2 linked regions of the Schizosaccharomyces pombe genome follow. Changing the gene in region 2 together with the main gene of any one other region gives a genetic interaction. Each region holds a gene or a part of one and is shown on either strand. Other genes may lie near its edges.

Region 1 (3,511 bases), 4.2 Mb from region 2:
GTCATTGCTTTATGTTCTGTATACTGGATTTCTTTATATAAAGACGTATATGTAGTATCAGAGATTTTTGACATGATCCAGTATGAGGTATCTCCTGCAATTTGGGTGTATTCTATTTGTCATTTATTGAAACAATGCACGTCTGTAACAACTTACGAAAATGCTTCAAAAGCCAGATTTTTTAGAAGAATGCTAAATGCATTTATCTTTATATTCTGTGCATCTCCAATGTTGCATTACCTGTCGAATATTATATTTGGAAACTTTGATTACAGACTGTCGGTGATCATTGGTGATCTTTTCACTTTTATGGAGAAAATTGCTTTTCCATGTTACATAATGTTTCCCACCCATAATGAAGCACTTGCCTACAATCGAAATGTAGCTGAAGAGGCTCAAGAGAAAATGATTTGACAAAAACCATGGTTTACTTGATTCACCTTTAAAGGGGTTACCGGGATTATTTTATTTATTATTTGTTTATCAATGGATTAATATCCAGTTATTTTAATCTCACTTTTTTACACAGAAATTGTGTAGTAAGTTCATTCTTATTTAATATACCACCTATTTATTTTTTACAAATGAATATTTTTTTACTGGAACGTTTTAAATACACATAACCTTTGAGTCGATGTGAAATAATGTTTTGTTCAAACTTAAAAGTTGCGAATCTGACATATAGACAAAAAAAAAATAAAAAGAAAAAACTGGTTACCTTCATAAACATATTTTGCTAATTTATTGAATTTAATTATTTTCAACTTGCTTTCCCATTTTCCCAACAATTTTTTTATCTATAATATATATTTTACAAAATTAATATAGTACATCGCATGGTTTTCTTTAAAACGACATAAACGTATAATAATAAACGGGGATTCAAAGTAATAAATCGAATCCAAATCAACTTTCAAATACATCCATTTCATCTACTTTACCCTTATATTCCCCTTCATATCCCCAACAAAAAACAGGAATTTGCGAAAGTAGTAAATGGTAAAAGTGAATAAATAGAATCAAGGTTAAAAGCTTACTTGTATGCATAAGAAGATAACTCCCTCCTCTTTACTTTTGCTTAAAAACAGATTCTGAGATTCGGGACTAGCATCGGTAATATAAGTTTTTCTTTCATACTGTTGAGTACTAGCATCAGAACCCTTAATGGTAGGAAGATCATCATCATGACTACGCCTTTGTTCAATCGAGTAAACATTTGCTGGTTCGTGCCAGTCACACTGAGAACAACAAAGTACCTATTATTAAAAATGTTAGCAAGCGATCGCTAACAAGTTGAAAAGTAAACACCTCCAACTATTCCATGGAAAGCATGTAACAATGAAGATCAATGAATGGCTATTAGCTTAACAAACTTGTAAACTCAAAACAGACTAACAACGTTTGTCAGGCACTAAGAGCAATAATGGAACAGACTTCATATCAAACGCTTTCTTGAATGTTCTTACCTTATTCGTATAAACCGGAAGAACAGGCACAATGAGAACCGTTACGGTTTTCAACTGACGACATACTCGGACTAAAAACAAAATGTTATGTTAACATTAATAAGACAAGTTTAAAAAAAAAAAGAAAGAGCCAATTGCTTTCGAAACTACTCAACTTGTTTATTTCTCGTACCAGTCTTCTTTGAACTAAAAAAAAAAAAAAAGCATTAGCAAAATGTGTTGTCAAACGGATAAAAAGAGAACAGGAAGAAGATTGCTGGAAACAATTTTAAAACAGCGAATAAAAAAAAAAGAAAAAATAATAATAATAATAAACAAAATACGAGTCGCTAATTTTTGAAACTAATCGCTTCCAACAACTGTTTCATTATAACTTCACCATTTTAATATTGTCCCCAAACAGCATGATTTAATTCTCTTTCACTAATTTCATACCACACAGGACACGTAAGTAAAACATCCTTATAATCGTCAGTGGATATCCACATATCTCGTAAATGTAATGGCATTGTTAAAAAAAATAAACACTCAAGTGAATAGAATTATGAAGAATTCGAGTCTAGTTCAAAATATTTGTTTTGACAGAGTCCCTCTATTTATACCAAGACTAAGCCTCACAGTGAAATATTGTCTAGCAGTAAAATTGCTGATTTATTTATTATATTGTTGGTACATTTACTCGGAAGTACCATCGGCTTCATCTAAATTCCGATCCTTTACATTTGGATGCGTCGTAGTATATCATAACAAATTTTTTCCTCGTTTCATTAGAACTCACTCCATTAACTCCATTAGAACGTTTTCTAAATTTCAAGTCATTATACTTTTCTCTATTGAGAAAGTCACTAGGTCAGAAAGCAAGAATCATTCTTACTCGAAAACCGATATTAGTGATCTGCACCAGGGCTATAATAATCCACCATCAAGATTCATATCACAATAACAATTCCATAGTATCTTGCTATATACGTGTAATGAGTATTCGATACTGGCTTGATTGCTATTTCTCCTTTGCTTGTAATCGTAAAATTGACTTGAAGATCTAAACCTTCTAATGCAATCATTGGAATTCTGCCTAACCTGATCAAATATGGCTTGATCACCGTTAAGTTAAAAGCAGAAGCTATGCCAATCAGTATGATTGTAACTTACAAAAAAATATAGCACAACGACATACAACATTATGGTACAATAAAGAAGACTTGATATATCAAGAACGAGGTTCAGTTTGTGCTCCGTTTATATTATTGTATTTCTATATATGACATTACTTGATGCAACCGCTTAAATATGTACTTTTGTGTAGTTATACTCGCAAGTACAGTAGCATTTTTAAAGTAGCGGTGATGTTGACGAATGGTTTGTTTCAAATCCATCCATTTCAATTTCAATTGTAAATTTCTCTTTTTCAATTATTAATCAAGTAAGTTGAAGTGTATCAGCACAATAAATTCTGACTATTACTACTCTTAAAATAAAACTCAAGCGAAACTAATTTTTAATAGCAAGTCATATTCTTAGTTTGATATGCTATCCGCTTTGGTTTTGCATTGTTATGACTTTGTATAACCTAATAAGGTGACGAAAAATCAGTTCGTTTATATTTTTGATGAGAAGAATTCACTATTATTACACAGAAAAACATTTACTTCTTATTAGATACCTTCAATATAATATATTTTTTAAATGTAATAGCGACGACACTACCCATAATTTACAATACATTGTATGGTAAACAACTGAGTAGTTGATACACCCGATTTTCATTGAGTCATACACTTTGCGCTTACTATCACTTTATTTGATTAAATGCATAATTTACAAGCCATTCCAATATTTCGCGCACTTTTCGGACATAGTAATAAAAGCCGAGGTAGTTTCGGCGACTTGCAACATGTTTTTTTATCGTCAGCTCGGAAATAGATTTCCTGACAGAGAAAGAAGGATATAAAAATAAACATGATGGGGCAATAAATAAATATTTCACCATTTTTTATATATCATTAAGAACAATGAAGAAATATATCTCTGAAGTAAAAAATAGT
Region 2 (3,939 bases):
ATTCGTTTGCTCTTAAATCGCAATTGTTGGATATCTCAACCACAGTGGAAATTAAATAAAGTAAAAGATAAGAAGTAAAATAGGTTTAACTTAAAAAGAATTTGAATGCCATAATTAAGCGATTTAAATAAGCTGAGCATATATGAGAGTATTCTAAATTATATATTTATGGCAATCTTGATTAAAAGGCTTTAAAACAAATCAGCACCGAAACCTACAAGACGATCGGAAAATGAAGTTTCCACTAAACTAGGTCGATCTGGGGCACCATGTATGGGAGCATCTTTGAGCTTTTCAGTTACATCGCTTAGTGAAACATTTAAGTATATCTCCATAAACTGTCCAATTTCAATGTTCTCCATATTTCCTCGAAGATGTTCAGTGACCTCTCCTACTCCATAAACGTTTACATCGACAGCAGTATGGCCGTGAGTGGTCCAGCCAATTTGTGCTTCTACACTAACAATATCACTAAGCACGTTTATAAGATTAAATATATTATGCCGGGCCACGTATATGTCATGAATCTGCTTTGGATTAGGGTCAGGAATGCCAATTGCGGGTAAAACAAACTGTTCAATATAAGGAAGCAACGTATTTTGGTTATGGTTCACGATAGCTGAAGCGAGATATTCAATAGAATGGAGAGCAAGAGATAGGACTTGCGGCTTCCATAAATACTCTGGATATTTTTTGGAGACCTGGCGACCAACAGTCAAACCACCAGTTTCATGATCCGATGTAGAGATTAAAGATCCTCCATTCTTTTCTACAAATGCACTTGCTATTTCAAAGGCCCTGTTGTATTCCATAACTTCGTAAACATGAGCGATAGGGTCATTGTTGTGAGAGGCCATGTCAATTCTACTCCCTTCTATGAGCAAAAAAAATCCTTTAGATGTATCTTCATTAGTGGCGTTGAGCAAAACATCCAAAGCCGTCTCTACCATTTCAGAAAGCTTAGGTTGCACTTCAGGCTGATAATCAATATCATAACTGAGATGATAATCAGAAAACAAACCAAGCAAAGGCAATTGAGCGTTTGATAGCTCATCAAAGTCAGTTCTATTAAGCAAAATTTGGAAACCTTCTTTTTTCCTAGCATATTTCAAAAGATCCAAGTTATCGGATCTACATGATCGATAAGTAGATTTAGGTAAGAATGAACAAAGTCCACCACCGAACAATAAGTCAACACTCCTTCCCAAAGGTCCCATCCCGACTTGGTACTCAGCAATTAAATCTTGCATGAATCGATTCGCGGCATGAGCAGAGAAAGAGGCAGGTGTAGCGTCGGTAACTCTGCTTGTGACAACAATTCCGGTTAAGTAACCGGCTTCTTTAGCAGCCTCTAAGATAGTTCCACAAGGTTTTTCATTATCCAAAACACCAACAGCTCCGTTGTAGGTTTTATTAGCACAAGAAAATGCGGTTGCTCCGGCTGCACTATCCGTAATCAAACTCGAACTGGAACGTGTCCGTGAACTGCCAATTAAATGCTCATCCAAGGGAAGCCTATAACCCTCTTTATCGTTTAGAGTCTCTACAAACGATCTAGTCATAGACAAAGAGCCAGGTCCCATTCCTTTAAAAAAAGTCAGTCACCGAGAAATATTGTAAAAAAAAGGAAGATTCCGTCCCAGTGCTCTAAATATAAAAAAAATCATTTTCCTTCAAAAGAGCAACGGATTTATGAGAGAGCTTACTCCAATCACTTACCGTCAGAAACCATCATAATAACAAATTTTGGTTTCTCATTGGTCCCTTTGGACTTATGAGACGAGAAAAAATAAAAAAATATAACGGTTGATAAAACAAGGATTAACAGAATTCCATGTTTTATCCAAGTTTTCCAATTTCTACGAGAAGGGCTCTCCGGACCCTCGCCATGCACTGGCAGAAGAGGATCGCGCTCAGATGCCATTGAAAACTATTTAAACGGTAAAAATTGAATATCTCTAAAAGAAGGGATGTCAAAGGGTAAAGATCGTTTCAACGCGTATGACTTGTTGATGGATAGTACAAATTTTTGGTGTTGAAACAGCTCAACCATACATTGCATGACGTCATGGTTTAAAGTATTAACTCTCCATGTCGATCCTCGCTATCTTAAATCTGATATCGGATAGTATATGCACAAGTTAATCGAGAATGGCAATTCACCAAGTCCACAAGAAATAGCGTGATGGTAAAACTGTCTATATATACATGTAATATCTACTGTCAAATGCAAGTAGCTGTTGAAAATATTAGAATCAGCTGCTGACATGAAAATCCCGTATATCCAAAATTCGATGCAATTACCTTTCGACTATTATTGAGATCTTGTCATTAACGAAAAAAAATATATATAAGCAAATGAGTTGTGAACAGAAAATAAACAAACAAGTAAAGGACTGAACTGTTACTTGAAAATAAAGTACAGTGTTTAAAGTAGAAGACACATTGATGACTTATGATGGCAGTGAATTTTGAGGGTAATAATAATAAGAAGACAGCATTTTAAATCAGTGCGATATTAAAGGATCAATTGTTTTATTTACTTCATTGTTCATATGAACTTAAACATTATTTATATTTTTATTGTACAAAGAACGTGAAATGGAACTTTTGGAATAAAGAGTAGCTAATCAGGAATTAACATTTGGGAATTCCTAACCATCCAGGTATCGAAACCAATCCTTAAGCTAAAGATTAAACATACAAATAGCATTATTTTTTTGAACGACGGTAACTTCATAAAAACCCAAACAACCAAGTCTTCAAAAAATAATTTAACTGGATCATATAGCTGTGGAACAAATTTTTTCAAAAACCAGAAAATTAAAAAAATGTGGGTGCAAACACTGAGAACAGTGCTTGCAGTCTCCCATCACATACCACTTAGCAGTCCATTGGCATATGCCATTGGGCGAATGTTAGGATGGGGAACGGCTTCAAATTGGTGGAAATCCAACTCCATGTCTTCCTTAACTTTAATTACGGCACCAAGATTTCCGGTACTATCACAATAATTAGGAGCACTAAACACAGTAATACAATAACCATCGTGCTCAACTTCGTAGCCTTGATCTCTGACTTCATGAGAACGGATCACTGCTTTAAGACCATTAGCCTCGCAAAAACGTTTTGAAACATCAGGGCCGAATTGTAAACCCACCCCACGTTTCGATGGTCCTCGTCCTGGAGCAGGTTGTGGATCGGTCCAAAGCATTTCCATCATTAACCCAGATTGTCCAGGTTGCTTTTTACTAAATCTATCAATGTTTCGTAGTTGGTCTAATGTTACGTTATCATCAGAAAATAGGCCACCATGTACAACAAGATAAGAATCGGAAATTAGGGAACCAAGAGGTAGCAGAGAAAAAGTTTCCGAGAAAATATTAAATGTCCTCTCATTATACTTACTACGACATTCACCTTCGAATCCGTAGACTTTGTTCATATCGTCAGTTTCGTGATTACCGCGATTGATGAAAACAGCGTCCGGATATAATAACTTATATGCATAAAGAGTAAAAGCGACTTCAGTGGACCACGAACCACGATCGACAAAGTCACCATTGAATAAATATTTGTTAGTAGGGCTTGGAGGACCATGAAGTTTGAAAATGTTTAACAAGTCAAAATACTGGCCATGGGTGTCACCGCAGATAACCAATGTCTCATCCCCTTTAACAGGAATGTCAATTAAAGAAGGAGTTTTTTCAAGTAATTCTTTTAAGTCTCGCAATATGCTATATGCAAATTTTAGGGGGAGTTTTTTACCTTGGCAAAAGCGTTCCTTCATGTCTTCAACAAACTCTTTCGTTATTTGCTTTTCTAATATTACACCATCATAGTCAGAAGGAATGTCCATGTCTTCAATGTTGATATTCGCAAGTGGTGAAGGAGGTTCAGTATTATGAATAGCCTCCTGAAAACGAATCCTTTTGACCA

The links.
Region 1: mutations in pho8 (region 2) and ftm6 together harm fitness more than expected from each alone (negative genetic interaction), as found in Schizosaccharomyces pombe (one large-scale study listed by BioGRID).

The regions. Positions count from the first base shown.
Region 1 is NC_003423.3:8,601-12,111, forward strand, and holds ftm6 (transmembrane helix domain-containing protein), read left to right. Parts: upstream 1-1,968; coding exon 1,969-2,409; 3' UTR 2,410-2,751; downstream 2,752-3,511. Other genes in the region: ftm5 (transmembrane helix domain-containing protein), read left to right, coding at 1-414.
Region 2 is NC_003423.3:4,182,601-4,186,539, forward strand, and holds the start of pho8 (alkaline phosphatase), read right to left. Parts: upstream 2,019-3,939; 5' UTR 1,925-2,018; coding exon 1,720-1,924; exon of another isoform or gene 1,586-1,719; coding exon 192-1,585; 3' UTR 1-191. Other genes in the region: SPOM_SPBC3F6.01C (serine/threonine protein phosphatase), read right to left, coding at 2,873-3,939.